Linked DNA regions of Ovis aries. The protein of the gene in region 2 interacts with the protein of the main gene of each other region in a pairwise test. Links are inferred from orthologs where the notes say so. Each region holds a gene or a part of one and is shown on either strand. Other genes may lie near its edges.

What was found.
Region 1: the proteins of FMR1 (region 2) and PICK1 interact in a two-hybrid assay, tested with the Homo sapiens proteins (2 studies listed by BioGRID and IntAct). The link is inferred for Ovis aries from reciprocal best matches to the Homo sapiens genes FMR1 and PICK1.
Region 3: the proteins of FMR1 (region 2) and CYFIP2 interact in a two-hybrid assay, tested with the Homo sapiens proteins (2 studies listed by BioGRID and IntAct). The link is inferred for Ovis aries from reciprocal best matches to the Homo sapiens genes FMR1 and CYFIP2.

The regions. Positions count from the first base shown.
Region 1 is NC_056056.1:215,673,335-215,679,457, reverse strand, and holds part of PICK1 (PRKCA-binding protein), read right to left. Parts: intron 5,136-6,123; coding exon 5,046-5,135; intron 4,605-5,045; exon of another isoform or gene 4,411-4,604; intron 3,058-4,410; exon of another isoform or gene 2,583-3,057; coding exon 2,529-2,582; exon of another isoform or gene 2,149-2,528; coding exon 2,086-2,148; exon of another isoform or gene 1,333-2,085; coding exon 1,199-1,332; intron 810-1,198; coding exon 717-809; intron 1-716. UniProt on the Homo sapiens protein: Probable adapter protein that bind to and organize the subcellular localization of a variety of membrane proteins containing some PDZ recognition sequence.
Region 2 is NC_056080.1:87,699,965-87,706,087, reverse strand, and holds part of FMR1 (fragile X messenger ribonucleoprotein 1), read left to right. Parts: intron 1-149; coding exon of another isoform or gene 150-334; exon of another isoform or gene 335-975; coding exon 976-1,158; intron 1,159-1,855; coding exon 1,856-1,938; intron 1,939-4,218; coding exon of another isoform or gene 4,219-4,233; exon of another isoform or gene 4,234-4,478; coding exon 4,479-4,640; 3' UTR 4,641-6,123.
Region 3 is NC_056058.1:66,563,399-66,569,521, reverse strand, and holds part of CYFIP2 (cytoplasmic FMR1-interacting protein 2), read right to left. Parts: intron 3,958-6,123; coding exon 3,853-3,957; intron 1,263-3,852; coding exon 1,171-1,262; intron 1-1,170. UniProt on the Homo sapiens protein: Involved in T-cell adhesion and p53/TP53-dependent induction of apoptosis. Does not bind RNA. As component of the WAVE1 complex, required for BDNF-NTRK2 endocytic trafficking and signaling from early endosomes.

The sequences.
Region 1 (6,123 bases), on a different chromosome or scaffold from region 2:
TGCCCCCCTGGAGCCCTCGGCCACCCAGAGGAGCAGCCGTGCCAGGCCTTGTGGGCCCTGCACACCCTGAGCTGGAAAGAGCTGAGACGTGTGGGGAGAGGCTGGCCCTTGCCCTGGAGGCTCAGGGTGGTGAGGGCACTCATCAGGGACGATGGAAAGGGCCCGAGAGCCCAGCGTTTACACCCAAGTCCCAACAGATGCTCTGGGCTAAAGGATTCAGGATCCAAAGAACTTGAGGAAGCCCCTGAAGACCCACGTTACACATGGGTCTATCGAAGGCTCTGACAAGTCCTGAAGCAAAGGACCTGGGTGGGCCTGCTCAGTGGAGTATTTTTCCTCAACTCCTTTGACCGCAGAATTACCATTTGATCATAAGACTCATGAAAATCCATGTTACAACCAGTGAGCTAGACTGATCCACTGTTAAAGGGTGACTGAAGAAAATTCCCATGGGGTCAGAGTGGGTCCCGAGCAAGGGCGCCACCCACCCCAGATCTCCTCTGAAGAGTCAAGGCAGGGCCTAGGCTGCTGCCTGAGCCCCGAACACCTCCCTAGGGCCCTGGCGCCACGCCCCCAGTCAGGTGTCACCAAGGTCCTGGCCCTGACCCGTTGGCCGTCAAGCGGCCGACTGAAGAGGAACAAACCTCCAGGTGGGCTCTGACCCCAGCAGGCCGGGCCCACACCACCGCCCCCCCAGGAGGCCGGGGCCCACTTACCAGGTACTCGAACTTCACGTCCAGGTACTTCTTGATGGTGAGGCGAGTGTCCGGGATGGCTTTGTTGAGGTACGTGTTCAGGTCTGCCAGCATCTGGAAGGGGAGGTGGGGTGGACGCTCAGGCCCCCTGGGCAAGGGCGGGTGAAGGCTGGAGAGGGCGACAAGGAGTGGCACTGGTGCGTCCACCCTTCTAGTGGACTCAGGTGTCAGAGCCGAGGGGAGATCCCCGACTGCCCTGTCCATTCCGAGGAGGAGACAGCCCAGGCCAAGGGCAAGTTGTAACTCTGGTGGGGCCAGGGCCGGAAACCAGCCTGGAGGTCAGTGCTGAGGTCGTGGAGGAAGAAGGACTCAGCCACGGTCAGCTGTAGCAGCCCACCCCCAAACCAGCCCCTAGGTGCTCCGCCTCCAGAACAAGACACTCCGCTGGCCACACTGCTCCTCCCCGCTCACCTACGGACCCACGCACGCTCCACGTGACCTACCGGCTTGATCGTCTTCAGGAGCCGGATGCCAAACTTCTCGATGCTGCGGTGGGCATCGGCGAACTTCACAAAAGCCTCACTCGCAGCGGGCTGGGGCTCCCGCACCCCGATCACAGAGAACACGTCCCCAAAGGCTGCGTGACAAGTTTGTTCTGAAGGCCGCCCCTACTTGACCCCTTTACTTGACCCCTTAACGGAGAAGCCAGGGATTTGTTGGGGAGAAGCATGGTGGGGGGCGTGGTGGGTCGGAGGTTGAGGTCTGCTGGTGGTCTACATCCCAGGGAGGTGGGTCTAAACCTCAAGAAAGGTGGATCTACACCCCTAAGAGCTGGACCTGTACCCCCAAGGAAGGTGGGTCTACATCCAAGGAGCTGACCTGGTTCCTGAAGTGACCAGACCATGCGAGGAAGACAGGGTCAAAGTGGAGTAGGTGAAACTGTCTGGGAGCAGAGTACTAGTCTAGGAATCTGGTCCTAAGGCCAACCCTGCACCTAAGGAGCTGGGTTACTGCTTCTTCTACCTGGGCTTTGTCTTCCCAGCTGTAAAATGGGATTAACTGAAGCTAACAAACGTGTAGGAAACATGATCGGGAATAAGAAAAGGCCTTGTACATTGTAAGCAGCAGTATAGACAGGACAGAGCCTGCACGGGGATCTTCTGCACCCCACAGAAGCTTAGCTGGTCGAGAGGCTCCCCGCTGGCCCCATCACCATCACACCCCCAAATCTGACATGAGGTCAGATGCTGCAGGGTCTGCTTGAGCTTGGGCAGCAGAAAGGCCCCAGAGAGAAGTTCGCCCTCACCCTCCCCGTGGGGTGTAGGGAGGTGCTGAGCCCAGAGTGCAGGGTTTTTTCCAGGGTCATGTAGCAGGATCAGGGCATCCTTACCCCGGTGCGTCTGTGACAGCTCGTAAAAGGCCCGGAGGAGGTTCTTGGTGTGTTCTGTCATCCCTGTGGGAAAGACCCAAAATGAGAGGGACAGGACCACACGGTGGGGATGACATTGGTCCAGGACACGGCCTCCAAACCCCCACCCCACCCGAGGCCCACACTGTCCTTGAGGTTCAGGCTTTTCTCACTCGGTTTACGTGTGCCGTTCTTTTTTATGGGCACATGTTACTTTTATAATCAGAAAAAGCAGGTCTTTAGATTTTCTTAAGAATTTTTAATGACTACGGTCCTAGAATTGTGTGGCTGGCACCCTGCCCCTCACTGCCATCACGTTTACAGCAGGGCTCCAGAGCTCCACCTCGGGGAGAACCCGGGCCAGGCACTTCTGGTGCAGTACCCCACCCACCCAGGGCTGCTGGCGGGAGGGTGTGCCTGCCCACCTTTATACAGCTCGGCGGTCCGCTCCAGCTCCTCCAGCCTCTTGACGAGCCCATCTGTGGGGATCAGAGAGCCAGGGGTGAGGGGAGAGACCCAGGGATCACTGGAGCCAGGCTTGGGAGAGGCGAGGTGGCCCCCAAAGAACCAGGAACAGAACAGGACAGGGTCCCAGGGATGGGGACTGGGCACCTCAGGGCGGCTGGGCTCGCAGGTGTTTTGTGACGAGCCCACTATACCCAGACAAGGCGGGACAGCAGGGCGACCCTCAGGAGGCTGTGATAAGCACCACCCCAGGAGGCTGGGACATGGTGACAAGGATGCGGGTGCTTCCAGAAGTGAGGAGTGAAAACTGGATTGGGCCCTCCCCAAGGCCATGCCCAAGGGTAGCTGCCCAAGGCCGGTGGAAGGCAAGCCCCTGCCTAGCAGTCAAGGACCTGGCCAGAACTTCCAACACACGCCCTGCCAACGGCTAGGAAGCAAGGCAGTCAGAGACAAGTGGGAGAGACGGGATGCCTGACAGTAACTCTTAAGGTAGGCTCAAGGCAGCCCGCCACCACCTGGCAGCTCAGAAGGGACAGCAATCTGGGAGGGGAGAGAAAGGCAGGAAGGGCTTTGAGGAAGAGCTTGCACTGGAGTGGGCCTTGGCGATCGTCTTCACTGGCTTCACAGGTGTTTATCCTGCACCCACTATGTGCCAGACCCCGTGTTGGGCCAGGGAATGACCTTGGTGAATGAAATCTGAGTGGTGCTTTCCAGGCTCCTGGTCTAGCGGTGATAGTGGCCAGGCCATGGCTGGCAGGGGCAGTAAGGGCTGCCAGGTGAGGGATGGGGGCAGCTGCCTCACCTCCAGGGCTCAAGATAGGAACAAGTGGATGACCAGGGCCGGGGCTGCATTCCAGATCAGGGTGGGGCGGGGCTCCGGCCAGCAGTGATCACCACCCTCCTCCACTCTGATAAGGGTGAGGCCCACACCCACCTCCCCACCAGGAGCACGGGCAGCAAGTGTGGGGCAGGGTCCATGCTGGTGGCTGCCTGGCCCAGGGCCTCCTAAGACAGAGCCTGGCCTCACTGGAGCCCCCCACCCAGCTCAGTCCTTTCTCCACATGAGCTTTTTGGGGCAGATTACTTCCCCCATCTTATAGGGAAAACCAAGGTTCAGACAGGTAAAGCAACTTGCCTAAAGGTGCGCAGCGAGGGCTGTGCAGGCCAGAGTGCCCTCTGCCCCCTCAGTTTCCTGTGCTGACCTGGGCCAGGGTTTTCTGAGTGGGAGGAGAGGAAGGGTTGTAGAAGCCAGGTCTGGATTCTTAAATCTGGGCAGAGAATGCAGTGTGTGTCAGGCTGTCAGGGAGGAGGGTTTGGGTTCTAGGGGTTGGTGGGGCGCTCCTTAGAGGTCTTCAGAGGCTTCAGCCACTGGGCTGGCCTCCAGGCCCCAGCGCCCCAGCACCCTGGCGCCCGGCCAGCCTGGCAGTGAAGGAGCCACGTAAGCGCCGTGCTGTTGTTTTTAGCTGGGTCATGGGACATCATGACAGCTTCAATTTTAGAAACCCTATTTAAGGCTGGGGAAATTGCAAGGTTTGGGGGGGAAAAAACACAACAACCAGTTCTAATTTCATCTCGACGCATGGTAACTACAGTAACAGGGATTTATAGGCACCAAGAAGCTGGAAATAGCAGCCGCCACTTTTGTACACCCTCTGGAACAAGCTCAGACCCCACCCCCGATGTCCCAGCCAATAAAGCCCAGTGCGCCCAGCTGAGCCTACAATTTATATTGGTATTTATATCTGTCCCCACACGTACACAGCAGAGCTGCTGCTATTTATAAACTTGGGCTGGTGACGGCGGGAGCGGGACTGCGTGTTTCACTGGTTCCCCCCACCCCCCGGGGAGAGCGCGTGTGCACACGCATGGGTGGGTGTGAGCGTGTGGGGAGAGAGTTGTGTGTGCACAGGCATGTGTGGGTGTGAATGTGCATGTACTCAGTTTTCCCGCTGCGGGAGGCGAGCACAGCCACCTCCAGGTCTGAGCAGGAATTGCTGGGCAGCAGCACCACCTCCTGGAGAGAGGCGGGGGGCCGGGTAAGCAGCCCGGGAGCAGCCGGGACGTGCTGGGGTGACGAGAGGGCACAGGGTAGAACTGGGGCTGGGGTGGGGGAGGCCTGGCTGTGTGAGAGCACCTGGGGGGCAGTGGCGAAGGCACCAGCTTGGGGAGCTTGGCAGGAGGCACCTGCCCACCAGGAGTCTCTCATCTGTGACTTGGGCCTATCTGTGAACCCCTGCTGGAAAGCGGGGGGACACGGGCTGTAAGAGGCCTTCACTGTGCACTGTGGGTGATCTGTGGGAGCTTGGGGAGGCCTCCAGGGAGGCAGAGAGATGGTGAGTATTGGCCCCACCAGCAGAGGCCTGGCCCAGGCCAGCGGGACACATACAGGTCTGGTGGGCAGCCGTGGCACCCGAGCCCCGGAGGCCTGGGCCTGAGTCCCCTGGGACCAGTGGTGGGGCTGGGAGAAGGGGGCTCACCATTGCACAGGATGGCCCGGCTCAGACCCAGAGCATCTGCCGTCCCCGAGCTCATGTTCTCGACCAGCCGATGCTTCACCTTCTTCAGCACTGGGACCAGGTGAGAAAGGACTCATGAGGTGGAGTCTGGGCCCCCAGGGCCAATCCTGCTCCATCACGACTCACTGGGAGCAACAGCAGGGCCGGAACTGGGGTTTGGGGTGGGGGTGACTATGAAGTAGGGAGGGTCCTGGCGGGGGGTTATGGGCTTTCTGGGCTCCCTGCCCTTTTCACTCTCTACTTGAGAGAGGTGTTGGGAGCCTGGAAACAATAAGTATGTAAGGCACTTAATTGAGGGTCTGGCACTCAAAGTGGCTATCGACTCCCACTGAAGTCCAGAGCTGCCTAGGCCTGACACTGGCCTCTTTCCTTAAAAACCAGAAGGCAACTGTGGCCCAAGGGTGGAGGGAAAGGGTGCTGGGCCCCAGCGCCAAGAGATCTGGGTGGGCTTTCACCTGGGGGCACAGTGCCTCCCTGGGTCCCGGGCTCTGGTGTGCAGTGAGGTGGCTGGTCCAGAGGACCTCGAAGCTCCCATCTGGCTCCTGAGCCTGGAAGCATCTACAGAGCCAAGGCCCAGCCCCCGAGCAGGAGGTAATATGTCCCAGGGCATGCTGTGGGCAGCAGGACTGCCCTCTGCCCCGAACCTGAGGGCCTATCCAGACCCTAAGGCTTTCTGGCAGCAGGTGGGCAGAAGAGGCCAGGGTTGAGTGGGGTGTGCAGGTGGGCAGGCGGTACCAGGCAGGGCTGGGCTGCCCTCCCCTTTCAGAGTGGTGAGGGACTGGGCCTAGTGAGCTGGAGGGCTGCCCTACGGCATGCAGGCACCAGAGCAGGCGGTCGAGGGAGGTAGGGGAGTGAACCATTAGGCAGGGAGAAACCAGAGACGGGTTCCGGGGAGCACCCCTGGGTCCTCCCAGCTGCTTTGGATTGGCTTGGTCGGAGGGTCAGAGGGCACAGCCACGTGACCACTGATGCACTGTCACAAGGAGACAGAACGGGGGCTTGCAGAGCCCCTGGACGCCACTGCCCCGGCACAGCTTAC
Region 2 (6,123 bases):
TGTATCTACTATGTAACTTGCTAATGATGGTATAAGGTATAATCCATCTCACAAATATTTGCGTTTCAAAAAGGAACTCTGTAAGATGGAAAAGCCTTCAAGATCCACAGGAATGAAGCTATAATGGTGAAGCTATAATTGCTCATTAGCTCCAACAGAGGAAGAGAGAGGTAGTAGAGTTGCTGTTCTGGAGTGGGGGAGAGAGCTACCTACTCCTAAGGCCAACCTTGAACCTGAGCCCTCATCCCTTTCCCAACAGTCTGTTCTTGATGCTGTGGAAGGTTCCCCCTCACCAAGAAGTTATTTTCCCATCTCCCATCCCCTGTGTTATTAACCCACCCCCTCAGGCATAATAAGTTGACTACAGTAAATCCTTTCTAATAATCAGTTATTCCTGCGGGAGTGGGAGGGAAGGTTGTGGACCAAGCATCAGACAAGCATATCCCCATTCAACGAGGTCCAATCCCTGATCTCACAAGAGACCATTCCCTGAGATAGTAGCCACGATGGCCACCTTTGCCACCCTCTCTAAGATGACCAAAATGTGTGCATTCCCCTTTGTCCCTGGCCAAACCTTGTTAAAAGGAACTCTCTTTCTAGAAGTTTTGTTTATCAAGGTATTGCATTTAATTGTTGTAGGCAACTTTTCCTCCAGAGAGCACAGATGTTTAAAGGAGCACAGCTGTTAAATGATGTGGCATACTCAGGTTTGAACTTAGATGGCTAATAGAATTCCTTTTTTTTTTAAAATGAGAACCAAAAATGTTTGAAACAAAATTGACCTCAAATATCGTGAAAACCTTCATTTTAACTTAAGATAATTTGTTTTACAAAATGGAAGGTGATATATACTCTTTGGTGGGCTTATAAATTGGGAAGTGTAATGGATTACCCCCAGAAACGTCTCTGGAAGTTTCTGTTAACCTAACGTTTTTTTAAGTCGGACAATGGTATATAACTTTTAACTCTCGATAGGAACTAATTCTGAAGCATCAAATGCTTCTGAAACAGAATCTGACCACAGAGATGAACTCAGTGATTGGTCATTAGCTCCAACAGAGGAAGAGAGGGAGAACTTCCTGCGCAGAGGAGACGGGCGGCGGCGTGGCGGCGGAGGAAGAGGACAAGGAGGAAGAGGACGTGGAGGCAGCTTCAAAGGTACAGAGGGTTTTTCGTTTAAGAAATGAAGCTGAATTGTAACAACTGTCTGAAGTTCTATGAAAAAGCTAGGTGATTCAATGACATACTATCAAGCCCCCATTTCTTCCATTTTGTACTGGTCACCATAAGAAAGGCTCACGTAATTAATTAGCAATATCAGACAGGCTTCCTTACAGTTTACAAACATATGAATAACCCCTGATAACTAGTTCAGCTTCTTTGGGTACTCTAAACATCACATCTAATCATTAGTTCAGATTGACCTATCACACAGTTGATGTAGAACTGTGATGGCTTAGGAATGTTTTTTGTAACATGTGCTTCTGTGCACTAAGCCGCTTTAGTCATGTCCAGCTCTTTGTAGCCCTGTGGACTGTAGCCCACCAGGCTCCTCTGTCCATGGGATTCTCCAGGCAAGAGTACTAGAGTGGGTAGCCATTTCCTTATCCAGGGGATCTTCCGGACACAGTGATCGAACTCAGGTCTCATGTCCCTTGCATTGGCAGGCAGGTTCTTTGCCACTAGTGCCACCTGGATGCTAGATTATTAGACAGTGTGTAACTGAAATTGCTAGGTTGATTATATTTTAGATTCTGTGGTTGGTCTAAATAAATTGAGGATGTGGGAACAAAGAACTCTACAATAGGCATGTCAGAATCAGTGACCACTGAACCTTTTAAAAATGTCCCTATAGGAAACGACGATCACTCCCGAACAGATAATCGTCCACGTAATCCAAGAGAGGCTAAAGGAAGAACAGCAGATGGATCCCTCCAGGTAAACCTATGTGCCTCTTTTCATCCAAATTGTCCCAGTTACATAAGTTTGAGATTTAGGTGAATTTGCCATACTATATAGGTATTTGTGAAATACTTTCCTTTCAACATTACATTTGTGGTCAATTTTAGTCCTTTATGACAAGTATACAAAGAAGATGTATCTAAAGAATGTGCAGTCTCAGTATTTGTAAAGATTTCGACAACCACATTATGACTTAAGTACCACATAGGTAATCCTCCCTACCCCCATTCTCCAAGGAAAGAAACATCCAGGAATGTACTGAGAGAGACTTGTATAAGCCCTGAGGAACCCACATCCCTTCTCACCAGAGTTGCAAGGATAGGGTGTCCTCTTTGACTGGAAAGTAAGAAAAAGAAGGTATCTAGCTCACAATAGACAGGGCTGATGACACTTGGCTAGTACATGCTGAATCAGTCAGCTGCCTATTTAGAGCCAACCTCTACCCTGAGAACGCATCTCATGTGGCCAGCACCTGTGCTGAACACATTGTTAACATAATTTTAAAATGAGCCCCCAAGCACAGCCAGGTATCTTGGCTGGGTGTATTGTATCTCACTTAATGTTTCAACAGTACCCTGAGGTAAGAAGTTCTATTATTCTGTTTTATAGGTGAGTAAACTGAAGTTTAGAAAGACTGAGTCACATAGTTAGCATACACTAGAGTGATATTTCAGAGAAGGCAATGGCACCCCACTCCGGTACTCTTGCCTGGAAAATCCCATGGACGGAGGAGCCTGGTAGGCTGCAGTCCATAGTGTCGCTAAGAGTCGGACATGACTGAGCGACTTCACTTTCACTTTTCACTTTCATGCATTGGAGAAGGAAATGGCAACCCACTCCAGTGTTCTTGCCTGGAGAATCCCAGGGATGGCGGAGCCTGGTGGGCTGCCGCCTATGGGGTTGCACAGAGTCAGACACGACTGAAGCAACTTAGCAGCAGCAGCAGAGTAATATTTGAACCCTGGTACCTCATTCCCAGAACGCATGATCTCTTCGGCTGCTTCTTTAACTCTGAAGACTTAATCCAAGTAGTTGGGGGTCCCTTCATGACTATGGATTGGTTTGGGACCAGTACCTAGAATTAGTGAGACATAAATTTTAAGAGCAGAAACTTCATGACAGAATATTCCTTAGAATTCATAGCATTTGTAGAAAGAAAGAAAGAAAACGAAGTCGCTCAGGTGTGCCTGACTCTTTGCGACCCCATGAATAGTAGCCTGCACCAAGCTCCTCCGTCCATGGGATTTTCAAGGCAAGAAGTACTGGAGTGGGTTGCCATTTCCTTCTCCAGGGAATCTTCCAACCCAGGGATCGAACCTAGGTCTCTGGCATTGTAGACAGATGCTTTACCGTCTGAGCCACTAGGGAAGTCCTAGCATTTATAAGTAGGTGTTAACTATTAGCTGGTGCTTAAGGATCATCACAGAAAATATCTTAGACCTAGAGATTGATGAAATTATAAGGCGTTTATGTACCAGTTTCATATTTCCCCTGTTGACAACCAAACAGTTAAAACACTCACCCAGGACCAACAATTAAACACACTTTGAAATTCGAGTGCACCATTTTGGGACTATAGGTAGTCCCATTTGTACTTGAAGCATATCAGTACTTTCATTAATTGTTTTAGGCCTGTGTGTCAACATTATCTTTCTTTTGTACAGCATCTACAATTGCATTAGCAGTGTTAAGTGTTCAGTGCTGGCACTTAAAATATTATATAAATCTCAGAATATTATTTTTTAAATCATATCCATCTCTATTCTCTTCCTGGGATTCCAGTTCTCCCACGCATTAGTGTCTTCAAATTTCCCTGTACTATTCTTATTCTTCAGAGTTTAAGTTGTATGATCTCTGATTTTCCTTACGGTAATATAAGCTACTAGAAACCAGTGCTCATATGAGTATATATAGTGTGTGTATATATACATATATATGAATATATACAGTATGTGTGTATATTTATATACACACACATGTTGTAAGACAAAGGGAGCCCTCAGTGTAGAAAAAGTTAATCATACTTACGATAGAAATGAAGATGTCAACTAAAGACTAGTTAATAAGTGAGTTAAGTTATTGCTCTGGTAACGTCAGAATAGGAAGACAATAATTTGTCTCTCTCCTCCTGGGTTTCATATCTTTGAAGAATAAACCATTTTTTTGAACAGACCTGTATATTTTGCATATATATTTTGCAATCCGTAATAGGAGTTCATTTTAACTATTTGTTTCTCATTGTTTTGTTCTACTTAGAAGAAGACACAGTAGGATTGTGAGTTTTTATCTAACTTTGGATGCAGTGAGATGACCAAGGTGTTCCAGTTACAGAAGAAGAGTGTTTTAGAATCATAAACCAAATAAAGCTCCTACCTGACCTTAATTTCTCACACTTCTTCTATTCAAATCCCTTTTAACATGTGGAATATACACTTTGGGCTTAAATTTCTTGTCAGGCCAATTGCAGATTACAACAGAATATGGTCTGTGTATATAACAACTATAACTTGTTTTAGATCAGAGTTGACTGCAATAATGAAAGGAGTGTCCACACTAAAACATTACAGAATACCTCCAGTGAAGGTAATCGGCTGCGCACGGGTAAAGATCGTAACCAGAGGAAGGAAAAGCCAGACACCGTGGATGGCCAGCAACCACTTGTTAATGGAGTACCCTAAACTGCATAATTCTGGAGTGATATATCCCCTATACCATTTCCATAATTCTTATTCCATATTAGAAAACTTTGTTAGGCCAAAGACAAATAGTAGGCAAGGTGGCACAGGGCATGAAATGAACAATTCCGTTAAGAATTTTGCTTTTTTCACATTGGCCATAAGCAGCAATTTTCAAATTTGCACACAATGAGGTCTTAAAATTTTTGAAACATTACTTTTAAATAATTAAGTATACTTAGCACTTCAGGACAGGATTTTCATTTGGTTTACTTTTTAAATACCGCGCAGTTGATATTCTTTGTTAATTTGGACCGTTTACCCTGCATTGGGTGATAACTCACTGGTATATTTCAGTTTTTCTGAATAATAGCATTTATGGTAATCATATTAGACTTCTATTTTCAATCTCATATAGAAGTCCATAAAATACTAAGGCATTTCATGTCCTGTGTCAGTTTATGTTTTGGTCCACTTTTCCAGTATTTTAGTGGACCCTGAGATGTGTGTGATGTGACGTTTGTCATTTTCATTAGCAAAAAAAAAAAAAAAAGTTGTATGATCTGTGCCTTTTTTATATCTTGGCAGGTAGGAATATTATATTTGGATGCAGAGTTCAGGGAAGATAAGTTGGAACACTAAATGTTAAAAGATGTAGCAAACCCTGTCAAACATTAGTACTTTATAGAAGAATGCATGCTTTCCATATTTTTTTTCTTACATAAACATCAGGTTAGGCAGTATAAAGAATAAGACTTTTGTTTTTGTTCTGTTGCACTGAAGTTTGACAAATAGTGTTATTGAGAGGGATGTGTAATTTTTCTGTATAGACCGGAAAAGTAGTAACGGTCTTTTCATTTGCAAGAGGCTCAAATATTTTCAGCTAGGAACAAATCTTCCTGGTTGAAAGTTAGTAGGATACGCCTGCTCTTTGGCCTGATGACCAGTTTTAACTTAGAGCTGTCTTTTATTTTGTCCTCCCCGAGTTTTGTGAAGTTTCTCATTTTCATTTCAAGCTTATTTGGGGGAGGTAGAAAGGTCATTTGTGTGCATAATAATCCTGTGAAGTACAGGTACTTTGTCTGAGAAACATTGGAAGCAGGTTAAATGTTTTGTAAACTCTGAAATATTAGGTCTAATGTATAAGCAGAATTGGAAAGCAGACTAGGATGGTTAACACATGAAACTTTTTTCTTTAGTTTTTTTTTCCTTTTGTTTTTTTGACATATTGGGTTTCAGTTTTGAGGGTTTTTTTGTGTTTGTTTTTTTTTTTTTTTTTTACGAGATTTACTGAGGAAAATATGTGAAGGATCTTCACTCTAAGATGTTATATTTTTCTTAAAAAATAACTCCAAGTAGGGGTACCACTGAATCTGTACAGTGCCGTACAAACCGAAGTTCTGCCTCTGATGTCTGTTGTGAGTTTGTTTCTTTGAATTTTCATATTACGGTTACTTTTCCTTGCATACAAATAAGCATATAAAAA
Region 3 (6,123 bases), on a different chromosome or scaffold from region 2:
GAGAAAACATCTTAAATTGGGGAAGAAATGAATGAATGAGAGTCTGCATTCTCCTTTGCCAATAGAACAAAAGACAACCCCAGTCACTGTCTTCTGCCATCCGGCGCCGGGTGACCCAGTGGACAGACTAAGCATGCGCACCAAGCAAGGCAGATACACGTTTAGGGAGAATTCACTATTTCAGAAGGAGCTCTGAAGGGGCGCTCCAGAGAATACTGAGAATGCTGACACTTCCTCATGCCTATACTTCGACACAACCTTTACCCTGAGTTCCCTGTGCGGGTTGGGGACACATCACTCAAGCCCCTGCCCCCCACCCTGAGCACATCACCACTCCAACCACCTTCAGGTGGCTAAGAATTCACAAGGAAATAAGTCCAGCATTCAGGACTCCATGCTTTTCCTGGAAGACCTCCTCACATACCAGCAGCCACTGGGTTACGAAGCTCTCCCTGGTGAGAGTCATCTGCAGTGGCTCAAAGCTGGTGGAGTTCAAGGACTCTGCATTTATGTATTTTTAAGGCTTTAATACCCTCATCCCTGATGAAAACATGGTTTGTCCCTTTCTGTTGGAAATGTAGGCAGAAGAAACCTCCTTAACAAGACCAGAGATCAAAGGGGTAGCCAAGCCTGTAGCCCATTGTTCCCCAAACTTCCATGAGGTGCTGACACCCCGGATCTTAGCACAGATGACCTAGAGGGTGGTTTCTAGAACAACCTTGGAGGAGGCCATTGACCCACTTCACACCTGGAACCGTTGGTACCATACCCTGCACGGCATACTTACTGCACGGACACAAGACCTGAGGAGAGAACCAGCGGGATGAAGAACAAGGCCACCTCGCTCCATCTGACCACTGAGGGCCAGCACTCCTCCCCCTGCCTGGGGGCAGGAGGACTCCTGCTGTCCCCCTGCAGGTGGCATGGGCCACCACAGGGACAGAGAAGGGGCGGGGCTGTGCTCTGAGCGCTTCTGAACCCTGGCAGCAAAGGGCGAGTGCAAAAGGGCTCAGATCACCATCCGCTGCTCCCCTCTGTCAGGAGCCAGTGATGGACAGACTCCACCTGCCCAGGGTCTGGGGAGAGGGGAGGGGCTGAAATGGCCCCTCGGCCCCCTGCCCGGGCTGGGCGTCCTTGCGGGAGCCGAGAGACATTACGGCAGGCACTCACTTGGACTTGTTCTCTTCATAGTGAGCACTGGTCTTAATGTATCTGGCCAGCTCTATCTGCATGTCGCCGAAAAGGGGCACCACCTGCAGCTGCTGCAAAGGAAGCAAACACAGCTTGTGAGACACGGAGGGAGGGGCCGGCATTGCCTTCCACTGGGAGAGCCAGGCCTCCCTGTGTGCCTCCGGGCTGACCCCTAGTTCTGACCCCGATGTTGTTGCCCTGTGACTCGGGAACCACAAAGAGCCTTAGCCAGCCTAGTCCTCCTCTGCCTCCAACCATTTCTATGTTCCAGCATCTGAGCCCAGAGAGGCAAAGAGACTTGTCCAAGGTTACCCAGCAGGCAGAACAGATGAAGAACGAGAATCAGATGGCCTGCCTCCCAGGGCAGGGTCTTCTCTGCTCTAATTTCCCTTGGATTAAAGGCGCCTCGCTGTTTCAAACTCTGGACTAGATGTGAGTGCCTGGATTCCACTGGCTGGGAGTGACCTTCTTGAGAAACTCCACAAGGTGAATTGAAACCTTGAACACCCAACACTAGAGGGCAGACAACTCCCATCCGAAGAGGAGGACTAATGGTGGGGAGGCTGGTATTCACTGTCTGCTTCTGATTCATGAGGCACTGCAGTGCTCAGTCCTTCAAAAGCAGAGACTTTTAGGGCAGTGAAACTATTCTGTATGATACCACAATGGTAGATACAGGGGCTTCCCTGGTGGCTCAGCAGTAAAGAAAGCGCCTGCCAATGCAGGAGACACAGGAGACCTGGGTTCCATCCCTGGGTTGGGAAGATCCCCTGGAGGAGGGCATGGCAACCCACTCCAGTACTCCCGCCTGGAGAATCCCAGGGATAGTGGAGCTGGGTGGGCTATAATCCACTGGGTCACACACCTTAGCAACAAAGTACAACAACAATGGTAGATATAGTCATTATACATTTGTTAAAACTTACAGAATGCACAATGCCATGAATTATCCCTACTGCACACCATGGGATCTGGGTGATAATGATGTGTTAACAGTGCAGATTTATGGACTAAAACAGATGTCCCTCTCTGCTGGTGAGTTGTGATAATGGGGGAGGTTGGGTATGAGTAGGAATAGGAGTTACATGGGAAATATCTGTTCATTCTACTCAATTTTGCTATGAGCCTAAAACTGCTCTAAAAAATAGTCTATTAAGCAAAACAGAAAACAGTTATCTCACTCCATAGAATAGCTGAGTGAGATCAGTACTACTATTATTCCCATTTAACAAGATGGACAAATTGAAGCTTTGACAACTCAGCTAGAGTGATTTTTTTTTTTTTTTCACAAAGTCAGACCACCTAGAAGCCAAGGGGCCAGGATTATAACCCAGGGGTCTGACACCTATGTTGCTCATTGAATCCTCAAGGGAACCCCATAAAGTAGACACCTTTAGCATTCCTATTTTCCAGGTTAGAGAACTCAGTTTCAGAGAAGCTCTGTGACTTTCCCAACATCACCCAGTTATGTCATGGAAGAGAGAGACTAAAACCCAGGTCTGTGTGAGGTGAGACTATGGTCTTCAATTCCACCCCCAACTCATTTATGTGGATTTAAGGCAGGGGTGGACTTTGCCAGTTCCCCCCAGATAAGCCCAGTTTTCATTTTGGGCAGTCCTAGAGAAAAGTGAAAGTTTTAGCTTCAAAAAGAAGCCAAGCCAAACCTTAGGATGCTTTTGGTGACTTGTGCATGTATGCTAAGTCACATAGTCATGTCTGACTCTTTGTGACCCCATGGACTGTAGCTCACCAGGCTCCTCTGTCCATGGGATTCTCCAGGCAGCAATACTGGAGTGGGTTGCTATGCCCTCCTTCAGGGGATCTTCCCTGTCCAGGGATCAAACCAGCGTCTTTTATGTCTCCTGCATTGGCAGGCAAGTTCTTTACCACTAACACCATCTGGGAAGCCCCTTGGGTGACTTACTTCCCTACTAACCTCCAAGAGTTAGTGAGACCCAGGCCCAGACACATCTTCAAAGGGATCCACTTTTAATTTAAGCTTGGTTTTCCCATGTCTGATCTCAGAGGCTCTACTCCACACCTGAAGTGCCTGATGCTAGGACACGCTGACAATATGGAACTGACTTCCAAAGTAGAAAATCCCTTTGCAAAAACCTCAAAGGCAAACCTCAAGGTTTGTTGTTAAAAGATTTGGGGCCACAAGATGAAATCTCTGAGGCACTTGAATGGACTGAGAGCAGGCTGGACCCCATGAGGCATTCTGGAGGCAGGGAGCGGAGTAGGCCTCTGGTGGGCCAGGAGAGTCTGTGAGCCTGTGAACGTGAATCAATGTAACGTCCACTCTCTAATCCTCCTGCAACTGCGAGCTCTGATTTATACTGAAAATTAAAGCAGGCTCTGTCTTCTGGGACACACCTCTTTCTTTAGATGGCAAGGGGTTTCAGGAAAGGGTAAAAGCAGTGTGTGGAAAGCATTGCAAGGCCTTCTGGCTGTGTCCTGAGACTGAGGCACACACCTTCAATAGCGTGGATTCCGGTACCCAAGGCAGCTAGGGCCCCTGTCTCTATCCTCCTCCTCCTCTTGGGATCCTTAGAGTCACCGTTCAATCAATAAGCATCATTCTTTGCTGCCTAATTTCATTCCTCTCCCCAGAGAGACCGCCCCCTGGCCCACTGCCCAGCCCCAGCCCCAGTTGCTGACCTTAAAGAACTTATCAATTTTGCTGAGGTTGATTCTCTTCTTGGCATCCAATTTGTAAATGTTACTGACATTCCCATCCATCAGGTACAGACCAAAACCCATTACCTAGCATGAGAAGAGGCAGAGACATAAGCCAGTCACATCTATTGGAAACGTTTCAAAAAACCAAAGTAAAAGCAGATGTAGGCGTGTGCACACCCACATCCCCTGTTAGTGACATACTCTATTAAAAAAACCCATGTGTGGTCACAAAGAAGGACACATAGAACTAATCTCAATCCGAAATTTGATTTCTGTGAAGACATGCAGAGGACTCTCGTTTATTATTGTGGTGGCCACTTCTTGAGTCCTCCCCATGGGCCAGAGTCTGTGCTTAGGGATTTAGGAGACATTATCCTTAATTCTCACCATCTTATGAGTCAAGTTCTATATGATAACTTTATTCTACAGATGAGGAGCTGGAGACACAGAGAGGTTAGACACAGCTGCAGAGATAGGATCTGAAGCGGGGTCTAGCAACGTGTATGTACTCAGATCCTCGAGAAAGACTTGAGTGGTGCTGCTGTTGCATCCCCAGGCCCTGGCAAACACAGCGGCCACTTGATGCATACTCACTAGATGGTAAATGAATGTGAAACTATTCACCCCTTTCCCCAAGGAAACTACAACAAAGATTCCCAACGAATCTCACTGCTGACTTCATTAACGAAAAGTACACATTTTTGCTGACAGTGCCCTATAGGCAGGTTGACAGGCTGATTCTAAACATTCCAGTCCATATAATATTGGGTTGGCCAAAAAGTTCATTTGGGTTTTTCCTTACAATGTAACGGAAAAACTAGCATGAACACTTTGGCCAACCCAATAGTTTCCTGCATGCTGGCTTACTTTGCTCCTTTTGTCAAATGTACAGCAAGCCCGAGGGAGCCTGAACAACTAGGCTGAAAGCAGCTTCCTCAGCTCGCAGTTGCTATGTGACGGGGGATTAGTCATGCCTGACACCTAAGGGACTGGGCTAGAGGATGGGTACTCATGGTTCTGCAAGGGGTGTGCCAGACTTTTCCATTTAAGGTGAAAGGCGCCCCCTGCTGGCATCTGAGTTTACTAACACACTGTAGAGAGCTTGGAAACTGCAAAACTCCAAGAGGCCAGGTTGAGAATTGAGAGGGAGAAGGCTGGGAAGCCGAGAAGTGGGAGGAATAAAAGCAGGCAAGAGAAATGAAGAGCCTGAGAATCTGATAGCAGCATGGAAGGATGCTTGGTGAAGTGGGGTTTAGTAACCTAGTTTGTGGAAGCAACAATTCTGGGCAGAGCTGTGGTAATTGCCTGGACATAGCACTGGTGTGAGAGAGGCTGCTGAACTCTGGGTGACTTCTCTGAATTTCTGACTGTGCAGAGGAAACCAGAGTGAATGAGTCAGAAAGCCACACTCTCTTGCAACCTTCCTCGAGATGCTACGGAAATGTAAAGAAGGGAACACCAACAGGGTTGGTATTCTGGAAATAAGAGGCGACATGGAGAGGAAGAAAAAGTCAAATCACCAGAGGAACTCTGAAAGGGATGAAAGAAACAAAAGAGGTGATGCAGTGTGTATAAAGAATATGGAGAACATTATTCATTCCAGTGCCTTTGTTTTCAGAGAGAAGTTAGGAGTAATCTAAGCAGCTAAGGATAGAATAATGGCTAAAGAAATGGAAACTCATCCATACAACATTATTTAAGGGCTGCATGTTATTCCAAATGTACTTAATGAAATGGGATAAATAATGCACATACATAATTTATGTAAACTGCATATGTTGAAAATACATCAGCACAGAAAAAAAAGAGAAAGATATACATCAAAATGGTAAAAGTGTTATCTCTGTGTGGAAAGATTATAAGACATTCGATTTTTTAATGCTTTTCTTTTCAGAATTTCTACAATGATAAACATCACTTGATAATTTAAAAATGAAACATGTAAACTGATGAAACAAACATGACCGTTTTGGCAAAATATAGTAAAAGCTATAAGATTTTGCCTTCCCCTTCGGTTGGCAATTTTCCTCTAGGATGTCTGACTTAACAAGAGTATGGCCACAAAGTGCCACAGAGTTTCAATGCACTTTAGCAAACAAATACCAAATGATAGGGGATTTGTTAAATGACAATGTCCCCATATAATGAAATACTAGGTAACCATTAGAAGTCACATTGTAGACAGAGCCTTAATGCTCTCTAGAAAGGTACACAACATATCACAGGGAAAAAATTGGTTACAAAACATTC